2 linked regions of the Mus musculus genome follow. The protein of the gene in region 1 interacts with the protein of each later gene in a biochemical or structural test. Links are inferred from orthologs where the notes say so. Each region holds a gene or a part of one and is shown in the gene's direction. Other genes may lie near its edges.

Region 1 (6,813 bases):
GTGCTGGAGTGCTAACTTTCAAGCTCAAAGGCTGTGGTAGCACTTGCTGATAATCCTAATCACTCAGGAGACTAAGGTGTGGGAGGTCATTAGTTTGAGGCTGGCCTAAGCCATGTAGAGAAACTGTGCAAAAAGAAAGCCACTGTCAGGTCAGTACTGTATGCTTGGTAGCTTTTGTTTTAAAAACACTTTTGTGACTACTTGTGTACAAACATGCGTAATAAACATATGTAATATTCCATTCATGATTATCTGGAATAGGATGTCTTAGGATTATTATGTACTTGGAAAACTTGCATTCTCATTGATTATTCTTCAGTATTCCTTGAGTTTATGTAATATGTATATCTACTCCATCTTCATTACAAATAGATTTTTTAAGTTATACGTTTATATATATATATATATTCCTTTAATTTCATACTTAACCTCTACAGGAGTACAGTAAAATACCAAGATGCAAGATTTTTCTCTATTACTTAATATTTAATGTTTATATTTTTCACTGTTTCCTCATTTTTGCAGATTCTAACAAGTTTGATTTTTTTAAAACCACCAATTTCTTTGTCATATATTGTTACTAGTAGTAAAACCCTCATGCTTTCTCTTTGTGTAGTCAGTAGCTATAAGCCTCCCACCATGCAGTCAAGCCTATATCCACCATAGGACAGACCATCATATTCCTTCTTCCATTCTGCTATAGCCACCAGTGGTAACCTCTGCTCTTTCTCCTGAGACATCTTTCATTATAACTTGGATGCTTTTTCATCCTTGCTAGAATTATTTTTCAATTTAGCACCACAGATTATATATTGACTAGTACCTGCTGGTGTCTGTATTCTTTCCTCTTTATATAGGCTTCTACACCAAACCACAGATTAGATTGTGGGTTTAGCATCAGATACATTTTCCACAGGTGTAGGGAGGTATTTGGAAAAACCGAGCCAATCTGCTGTCAGTAAGTTCATGCTTCGTCTTAGTCATGCAGTTTCTTCCAAACCATTCCTACTTAGCAAGCCCTATCCCAGGATCTCAACTTTGCAGGCTGTGGCTCTAGTGAACACACTAAAGCTTTTATTTGTTGGTTGAATTGTGTGCTACTGCTTATTTCACGTATGAAAAGGCGCCCGAGTCACATGGGGTCTCTTACTGTGGAGAGTAACTGCCAAGACCTGCAAGAGCCACCAAGTGCAAGTTCCTCTTCTCACCACCGAGTCAGAGCACTGTTGTTAGCACTGGGACTCTTGGGAGATAGGGTAGCTGTGCTCTGATACATTTGAAAGAGGGCTTTCACGGGTGTGAAATAGCTCATTCTTTATCAACTCTGAGGTCGGACTTTGGAGACACTTAAGGTGGAAACGTAACAAAACAGCCTTATTTTCTTCTTAATTATTTTTAACTAGGTGTAACAGGTCTGACAGTAGCTGAAATGGGGTGTGAAAACCCCATTTTATAGAGGCTAAGTGGGGTGTCTAAGGACCAGCCTTAGGTGAGACCACAAGGCAGTGTCAACCTCTCACCTACAAAGGAAAAAGTTAGCTTCATCGGTAATGAGGGAAAAGAATATACAGGCTGTCAAGGCTTCCAGTTAGATAATTTGGAGTTATTGGGAAGTTTGTATTTTAGGAATCTGTTTTATCCATTAAGAATGTAGCTCTGGCTGTCATAGCAGCTTGCTGCTTCTGCCTCCATGTAGAGCACTCAGATGCTGAGACTCAAGGCGTGGGCCACCGAGTCCTGCTAGTCATTTGTTTGAGAGCTGGAGTTTAAACTCCACATCACAGACAACTGTGTTTTCAAGGAGCTATCCCAGCCCCAGAATGCACTTCTGAAGAGAGGAAAGTCGGTTATCTAGTACACTAAACCTTGATTTTTTTTTTTTTTTTGAGAGTCTGAAAACCTTACTGTTGTTAATATAGCAAATACTGTTTTATCTGGGCCTAAGAAGAAGGTTAAAATTTGAAACGGATGATGAAAGGAAAAACAAATCAAGTTTAGAGTCATCATTGACTATAAGTAAATTGAAGGAAAAGAAACCCCACCCCAAGACTGTCTCCTCACCTGTCTGGGTCTCCTCCTCCTCACTGTTACCTCAGATTTTTCACCTTTTTTGGCATTTATTTACTTGTTGTTTTTTCCCTCTTTGTTCATTTGGTTTTCTTGCAGTATTTTGTTCTGTATCTGATGCTGCTGTCAGAACAGCTCCTAGAGCGGCCTGCTTTTTTGAGATGGAGTTACCTAAAAAGACATTTCAAGAGATACTGTGACTCACTTCAGTGTTTAAAATATATACTGTAAGCTACTTTAGGAGGAAGGTTTTAATAATATGTAAACTTAGAGCTGCAGAGATGCAGTTGATAGGGTCTGAGTCATTTTCCCCTAAAGTTGAATGCCTTTTCACAGTTTGTTTAGCAGTAGGTGTTTAAACAGTAAACCGACTAGAATGTGGAAGCATGCATGTCTTGGCTGTGTAAGGCTGAGTCGGTCATCCTGAGTCAGAAGACCAAGTTGAACAGAGTGGCCAGATCCCCCACCCCTTTTTTTAAAAAGCGTATAGATGAGGAATATTGATATATTCGCCTATTCTGATCTGGTAATATTCTTTTGTTGGAGAAGACTACTTTTTAATTTTCTGACCTTTATATTTTATTTATTAATTATTTTTGAGACATGGTCTCACTGTATATCCCTGGCTGACCTAGAACTCACTACAAAGTGGCCTCCATCTCACAGAGATTCACCTATCTCTGCCTCCTGAGTGGTGGGATTAAAGGTGCACACCACCATGCCTGTCAGCCATTTAATATTTCACAAGTAGAATTTAGGAAATGGGGAAGCAGAAGAAATTGACCATTTGTATCCTTTTGTAAGTTTTTAATCTCTTTGTTCCTTAGCTAACACCTGACACTCACTTTAAAAATCACTTTTTTAGATATCAGTTTGATGAAATTGTGTATTTCTTTTGTTGGAAACAGTTTCAAGTGTGTGGCATTATTGCAGTCTTACAAGATTTAGATGAACATGTGGTATGTGAATGTAAAAGTAGTCATTTCTTTAAGGTATATATTTTAAAAATGTTTTTTTTTTTTTCATCAGTGCAAAGCAGCTGGTCCGAGGAGAGCCCAATGTTTCATATATCTGTTCTCGGTACTACAGGGCACCAGAGTTGATCTTTGGAGCCACTGATTACACGTCCAGTATAGGTAAGTGCCGGGTCTGAGTGCAGTGGGTGTGACTGTTAACTGCAGCCTGGTTCTTACCAGTTCTCTGACTCAGCGAGGGCAGGGCTGCGGAGGACACCTTTGCAGAAATGAAGAGAGTTCATTTTCTTTCTTACACCTTAGAGTTGATGCCTTTCTGGTTTTATGCTTTTTTAGTATTAGAATTATACAAGTATTACTTTGTATTGTAGTTGCTTAATGCATCTATTTGACGCTAAAGTTTCAAATAATTTTTGATAATCATGTAGAAACATTACTGAGGCAGGGAAGGACGGCAAAAAGACGTGCTCACAGCACGCGTGGAGCTCAGCCACAGCTGCTCGGAAGGAACTTTTGTCTGCTTAGTTACTAATGGGCTCTGTACTAGTTTTCTAGCTCTCCTGAAGTGTTTATTCTTGAGCCTAACCTACTTAGAAAACTTGTTAATTAATAATGTTACTTTTAAAATGTTAATATTATAATTAATAGGGCAGTAATATTTCTGAATTCCTATAATGATGCATCGCTTAATTTTCGAGCAGCTTAATTCATTAGCTTTTCAGGTTTAAAAGTTTCACTGGAGATGTCTAACGATAGAAAGATTAGAGACAGTTGAAATCTTCATTGACCTTATCTTCTTAACCTGTTCTAGTGCAGTTGCTGTGTTAGTAGACAAAAACCCTTCTCCCAATCAGTTTATTTAATGTATCATGGCAGGGGTGGCGGGGAGCTGGGCTTCACTGATGTGGCTGGACTAGCTGACCCGTGGGTCTGAGACCATCCTGTCTTCAGCTCTCTCTACCATAAGCCACCTCCACAGCCCCTTTCACTTTGTTTCTGATTAGAACCTGTTAGTCCTAAATAGAAACTAAAGCATACATATTACACTCCTCCCCCAGGAAAAAAACCCATAGTCATGGGGGCGGGGCAAAAACCAAAATAAAAACAAAACCTGGCTAATTTAGTACAGTGCTTTGTCCTCCTGATACGCACAGCGGTGCGTTGTTCTTTTTCTTTTCAGAAAGGGCAATATGCCAAAGCATCTTTTCGCTGATACTGGTGCTTTTTACACACTAGGTCATTTTATTGTTTATGCTGTTAGTGTAAAGTTACATTCTAGGACCTGAAAATGTCTGCAACACTTAGGGCTCTACAGCCCACACTTGATGAAACCTGCCAGAGGAGAGGAGGGAGGGAGTGTGTGTGGTGCCGTGTGTGGTGCTGTCTTACTGTGGCTGTAGGAACATGGCGTATGTGACTGAATAAGTGAGAAGTGCTGCAGAGAAGCTGACTGGAGAAAACAGTATCTGAGCTGCCACGTGGAGACCCTGATTCTGCCTGCTCTTCATAAAACGTTACTCAAGTACTGTAGGCGACAGTCTTTCCTGGGCTTACTAATTCAGCTGTCTCCAAGAGAAAGTTTAGTCCTTTGTCCTTGCAAATGCCACTGGATACAGTATTTGATTAGTATTCTAGTCAAATATTTGATACTAGTTAGCTATATATGATCTATGCACAAGATAATAGATTGAGTTGTGCCAGGGTCTACAAAAATCTGAACAGTCCTTCTAAAATAATCAGAGCCAGATCACCTGGCACATTGTAGAAAACATGGATTTGGATCTAAGATGCTTGCCTTTTAAATTTGGTTTATGCGTGTGTTTTTGCATGTATGTATGCATACCACATGCATACATTAGTGCCTGTGGAGGTCAGAGAGGGTGTCAAATCTCTGGAGATATAGGTGGTTGTGAGCCATTACATGGATGCTGGGAATTGAACTAGGTTCTGTGCAAGAGCAGCAAGTAGTCTTTCTTAATGGATAAGCCATAACTGTAGCCAGGATCTTGCTTCTTAAGACTTTGTAAGATTTATAGAAGACTGGGTAGGTAGTGTACTTGCCTTTAATCTCAGTACACAGAAAGCAGATGTAGGCAAATCTCTTGTAAATCCAGCCAACCCGGGGCTACATGTACTGAGTCAGTCTCTGTCTCTGTCTCTCTCTTTTCACTCTTTCTCAGGCATACAGAATAGGTTTGTGAAAGTTAAATATTTATAAAAATAATTATTTATTAAAAAATAAAAAGGATTCCAGTATATGAATAGGTACTTTTAAAAAATTAACAATGTTTGGAATGAAACCATCACTGATTTTGACTAAATTATTGTCATATTTGGATTTAATCAATACTATGCGATCTAAGTTAAATATACATTTCACTTCATATTTAGTGTGATAAACTTTTCTTTTGTTTTTTTCTTCAGATGTATGGTCTGCAGGCTGTGTGTTGGCTGAATTGTTGCTAGGACAACCAATATTTCCTGGGGACAGTGGTGTGGATCAGTTGGTGGAAATAATAAAGGTGAGATGGTTGATTTACACTTTTGTACTTTTGAACCAAAAATGTTACACACATACACACACACACACACACACACACACACACAAGCACACAAAGCAATACCTTTACAGTGGGAAAGGAGGCTGGGGACGTGATTCAGAAGTGAAAGCCCTCGAGGTGCAAGCATTAGAAGTAGAGCCAGCTCCCAGAGTAGAGACCCACATGAGTGTTTCCTGGGCTTGTCATTCCCACCCAGAGAGCCCTGAGCAGGCTGCCTGGGAGGAGAAGCCATGTCTACAAGCTCTCCGCTCGATTGAGACCCTGCTTAAATGAATGCAGTGGAGTCGTGACCAAGGACAATTGCTGAGACCTACCTAGCCTTGGGCCTTCATGTACAAGCATATAGAGGATAAAAAAGGAGAAAGGGGTTGTAGGTCATTTAACAAGCTGTGCTACAGAGCAGGTTGGGGAGGGGGGAAACATTGGCTTCCTTTTTTAAAGATTTATTTTTATTGTATGGATTCCTTTCCTTTCCTTCTTTCTCTCTCTCTCTCCCCCCCCCCCTCTTTTTGGCCTGTATGTGCATTTGTGTATTACATGTGTTCATAGTGCTCTCCAAGGCTAGTAGAGAGTGTTGGATCGTTTGGATTCTCAGACTGGAAGGATTACAGATCATTGTAAGCCGCTGCCACATGGGTTCTGGGAATCAAACGTCTGGGAAAACAGTCTGTGCTAAGACACCTTTCCAGCCACGTGATCAGATTATTTTAAGATCTGTGTCATAATTTAACATTGCTTTTCCTTTTAATATCAGGAAAAATAGGGATTTAAAGCTACTGGGTCCAAATATAGTTGAAGAGGTCATCTTCCCTAACTCTCTGGAATTGGGTTTCACAGCTGAGACCACTGTGGTCACCTCTTTTTGTTGTTGTTGTTGTGTTGGAAAACAGGGTTTTCCATGTAGCCCTGGTTATCTTGGAACTCACTCTATAGACAATGCTGGCCTTGCACTTTCAGGCTGAACTCTTAACTTTGTCAACAATACTGCTTTCTTCTTACTGATTAGAAACAAGTGGTAGAAATCATGTAAGGACAAAGCAATCTTGGAGAAGGGCTTTTTCAAATGTACAAAGTACTCTTCAGTATTTATGAGACCCTTTGTACTTTTTAAATATATGTGTGTGATACATACAAGAGAAACATGAAAGAAGTCCTAGTTCCAGTATTACGCTAGGATTATTGAACTGGTGTTCAGTTCTTAGAAGAAATAA
Region 2 (4,625 bases), on another chromosome or scaffold:
TCCACACATAGGTCCTACAGGTAAGACACACCCTTTCCATATTCTGTTTGTGAACATACAGACCATGATCACCAAAGAACAGGATTTTTGTTCACCTGTAAATCCTTTCTTTCTCTGGGCATTTTTTAAAAAAAAAGATCTATTTATCTATTTTATGTATATGAGTACACTGTAGCTGTCTTCAGATACACACTAGAAGAGGGAATCAGATCACATCAGAGATGGTTGTGAGCCACCATGTGGTTGCAGGGAATTGAACTCAGGACCTCTGGAAGAGCAGTCACTGCTTTTAACTGTTGAGCCTTCTTTTCCAGACCCATTCTGTATTTTAATAGGCAGTTACACAAGCTGAGTAATGCAGTTGAGAACTAGGCAAGACAGTTCAGAGCGTCGTGAGAACTTGCATACAGCAGGAGCATCACATTGAAAGAGAAATGAGAAGAAGCTTGGTCCATGTTTACATACGTCACTGTGACCTGGAATGAAAGTTTTATGTAGTTAGTTGCCTGTTATAAACAAGTTTCCTTAAAATGAACAGAGCATATTTGTAAGTGGCAACAGGAAATGGTGGCCTGTCTTCATGTGAGTGTGCTGAGCAGGTCACTCTTCCAAGCTCTTCAAACATCAGCAGAAGGTCGGGAGTGCTACATTCTGTGTCTGCAGGCCTCAGTGCCGATGCCATTAGAATAATGTTTGCTTTCAGTCACGTGGATCAGGGTGACTGCAGAGACGGAGGTACAGTGGAAACTGCCTGCCAGCGTCAGCTAGGACCAATAGGGCTGGCTCCATCCAATAGGTCTGTCCATGAGTTACTGTAAGGTCGTGAATGCCCCAGGCATGTTCTAATCAAAAGCAGAGAAAGGCCTGAAAATTGAAAAGGAGAACCAGAACCTAAAATTATTTATTTACAACTTATTTAATTCTGCTAGAATAAAACATAGATCAAAGTATGAAACAGTTTTTAAATCATTTCCTGTATTAGGTCTAAAATCTGTCTTAACCTTTTTGTCATTTGCCATGATTTTTAGATTTACAGAATTTTGTTGACCAATTTTCTTTTTTTCCTTTTCTTATAAGACTGGAAGTATTTAGCTTTTAAAATTCTGATTCCAAAAATCTTGCTAGCCTTTGACACCTGCTTGGACAGAAAGGTGAAACAGAACAGGAAAAGCGCTCTGACAGTGTCCTGGCTGGACTGAAGCTGCAAGCCCCAATCCTGCTCAGGGCGGCTGCGGGGCCAGGCTGCGGGCAGCAAATTCTGGGTGCTGTGCCCCCAGGAAGCTTATGAGCTCCCTGTCAGTTATTCTGGCCCTTGCCCCTGGTCTTGCAGTCAGTGTATTTTAGAGACAGTAAATGCATGAATCTTTAGGATAAGTATAAGATAAGCTTAACCATATTTACAATTAGAGTCCTAAGAGGTCATCCGGGGATAAGTCAGTGTTGTAGTCGGCTCTGCCTTCATGGAGTGTTCCTCACCACGGCACTTTTTTTTAGATAATTACATTTCAAATTTATGAACTGTAGGTTACTTAAGAAGGTAGGTAAACAAGTGTAAGCATGTTAGACTCTTGTTCTGTTATAAAGTTCACGCACTGTCTGAGTATTTAAATTGATCGTTTTGATAATTGAAACCATACTTAGGACTGTATACCCGGGTACCCACAGAAATCAAAACGACTACTTGCAAGTTAGAAGGGTTTCCCTTTGCACATGATAGTGATGGGATAGATCTGCCCTCACTGGGAGTTTAGCCTGAATCGTGTAATATTTTACTTTGAAAAGAAATGAAGTCTTCAGACATCATAACTTACCTATCAGGCAAATTATGAATGACTGAAGAATGTGAGAGCGTAGACTGTGAAGACCCATTCTACACACTGCTGCTCCAGGAGCTGCTGAGATCATGAGTGCGAGGTGTGTGGCAGAGGTTAGACCACCAAGGCTGGAGCTGAGAGTAGACCACTTGCTCTGGGGGAAAGGCCCTGGCTCAGTTCCCGGCACCAGTGAAAACCAGAGTGCTTTTCTAAAGTGCATCGATAGGTACAGCTCTTGAGTTGGTTTGCTTTTATTCTTTTTTTATTTTTATTTTTCAATATGTCTGGGGGTCAAACCCAGGGCCTCGTGCACAGCAAGCACACGCATCTAGATTTACCTCAAGATAGAAGAGCTATTTGGGGCCCAATTGAGTTCCTCTCTGCTCTCCAACTCCATCCCTTTTTACTTGCCTCTACTTACATTTTACTTGCGTAGGTCTTCCTTTGTTGATGTGCTATTCGTTGCCTCTCCATCCATGTCTGTGAAGAGCAGTGGCTCTTTGGTTGTGATGGTTTTGGGGATTGAACCCATGGGCTCACTGCACACAGCAGTCACGCGAACTACCCATCCCCTACACAGATTTCGACTGCACCAGCTCCCAGCCTTCAGACTGATTTCTGATGCAGTCTGCTTCTATAAAACTAACGCAGTGCTCTATTGCTTTCCTGCTCTAGCTATAGGCCGTACAGCTACCGGCACTTTGCACCGCCCACCACACCCTGCAGCACTGATGTCTGTGACAGTGACTATGCTCCTAGCCGGAGGATGACCTCGGTGGCAACAGCCAAGGGCTACACCAGTGACGTGAACTATGACTCAGAACCTGTGCCCCCACCGCCCACACCCCGAAGCCAGTACTTGTCAGCGGAGGAGAACTATGAAAGCTGCCCCCCTTCCCCATACACGGAGAGGAGTTACTCCCACCACCTCTACCCGCCACCACCCTCCCCCTGCACGGACTCCTCCTGAGGAGGGCCCCTCCTCCTCTGACTGCCTCCACCGGGACATGTAAATACACATCTGGTTGAGATCTGGAGGGGGGGAGGGAGCTATAGAGAAGAGTGAGGCAGACTCTGTACAGTTAACATTATAAAGTGGGTGGGTGCTGGAGATATTTGTACAGAAGAAAAGAATATTTATATATTTTCTTAAAACAGCAGTTTTGCTGCTTGTGCCATAAAAGTTTGTATAAAAAATAAATTTGTACTAAAAGTTTTATTTTTGCAAACTAAATACACAGAGCATGCCTTAAGCCCAGTGAAGAGACTGAGTACAAAGGAAACAGGAAAAGAAAGGCATCACTGACCAGGAGTGTCTGGGTTTTAACGATACCAAAAAATAAAAAGGAGAAAGTAATTCCATCTTAGAGTAGCAAACTTGGAAGTAGCCAAATTGCCTTTGGGTTAACTAACATTTGAGGGCCGACAAGTCGAGAACCCATGAAAGAAGAAATAACAGTACTAACTTTGGACACAGGGCTTTGTTTTCTCCAGGAATCCAGCAATTTTCACGAGGAAAATAGATAGTTGTGAGATCCGTTTTGAGTGCTGCTGTTGTAGGAGCTGAAGCGTCTCTCGCGGGAGCTGCTGAGAGCTCTCGCCTGTCACAGTCCATGGTAACACCAGCTGTTCTCACGGTCTGCCTCCCAACACCTTGGAGACTGTTTTGCCAAGAGCCATGATTTATTTAAGCTTTTTAATCTGAGGAGTTGATTAAATGGAATTTACTAAACACGAAATTGAATTGATTTCAGTATACCTACTCTGTTCGTTCAGCAATTGGCTGAGTTTTTAAGTTGTTGGCTGTTTTTGCATAATCAAAAGTTAGCCATATTATTGGTCTTCCACAATTGTTTTAATGCTCATTAAAGTGTCTTTTTAGAACATATAAGAATGCTTAAAAATCACAAATCTAACTGTTATATTCTTGTAAATTAGCTTTGTATCCTTGCAGCATACAATATCACAGTGTGAAATCATTTTATGTATTTTGTTAGTAAAACATTTCAATGTGCTCTCGTTAGAAACAGTCTGTTTAAACAGAAATTCTTATTGTTAGTAGGCGTCCCCTAGATGAACTGTTTGTGACATTTTCACTTTCTGTGGACCAGCTTTTCTCAGAGTGATGTTTGCAGGCATAGCTCTGCCGATGTGCTGTGAGGTAGCTTCTCGGTATGCGCTGTGAATGAGTGTGTTCACACGGCCCACAGTCTGTCCTTAGTCTCCTCCTGTGTCTCTCTGTGTGCTCTCTCCTACCCCATTATGGATTAAGATAATTTCACAGATTTAACAGTGGGATTAAATGAGAAGACACCGTGAACTTCTCAGCTGCAGAAATTTGAGCAGTGGAGACAATGGAAGTCTCCTGTCACATGCCTGACCTACTGTCACATACCGGGCCGCTATGTCTGTCACTGTTGGGGCTGGCTGTGGGATGACCCTGCTGGGGACTAGTTTCCTGCTTTCACATGTGCCTAGCACTCCTCTCCTAAAGCTGAACTTTTTTTAAGCTAGTATGATTTTTACCTTAACAGGTGTCGATTAATTATTGAATACATTTTAAAAATTATATATTGAATTGTAGCTATGAATTTCAGAGCCTAAGGGGAAACAATGAAAGAATTGATTTCAGAATTTGGCAGAGTTTGAGCGACTTTAAAAAAACAAAACAAAACGCCTAAGAACGTTTTTAAAGAGAAAAAACTCCTTTCTGACTAATGCGTAGTTGTTGTGGACAGCTTAGTGAGAATCAGGGGCCTTGCATCTAAGTAAAGGGCAATCTACCTGTGTCCTGCATTTCAGTCAGATAAG

What was found.
Region 2: of the proteins of Gsk3b (region 1) and Lrp6, one has a biochemical effect on the other in vitro, tested with the Homo sapiens proteins (2 studies listed by BioGRID, with this or other methods). The link is inferred for Mus musculus from reciprocal best matches to the Homo sapiens genes GSK3B and LRP6.

Annotation. Positions count from the first base shown.
Region 1 is NC_000082.6:38,188,432-38,195,244, forward strand, and holds part of Gsk3b (glycogen synthase kinase-3 beta), read left to right. Parts: intron 1-3,096; coding exon 3,097-3,203; intron 3,204-5,465; coding exon 5,466-5,563; intron 5,564-6,813. UniProt on the Homo sapiens protein: Constitutively active protein kinase that acts as a negative regulator in the hormonal control of glucose homeostasis, Wnt signaling and regulation of transcription factors and microtubules, by phosphorylating and inactivating glycogen synthase (GYS1 or GYS2), EIF2B, CTNNB1/beta-catenin, APC, AXIN1, DPYSL2/CRMP2, JUN, NFATC1/NFATC, MAPT/TAU and MACF1.
Region 2 is NC_000072.6:134,448,945-134,453,569, reverse strand, and holds part of Lrp6 (low-density lipoprotein receptor-related protein 6 precursor), read left to right. Parts: coding exon 1-20; exon of another isoform or gene 21-864; intron 865-2,235; exon of another isoform or gene 2,236-2,489; coding exon 2,490-2,784; 3' UTR 2,785-4,625. UniProt on the Homo sapiens protein: Component of the Wnt-Fzd-LRP5-LRP6 complex that triggers beta-catenin signaling through inducing aggregation of receptor-ligand complexes into ribosome-sized signalosomes.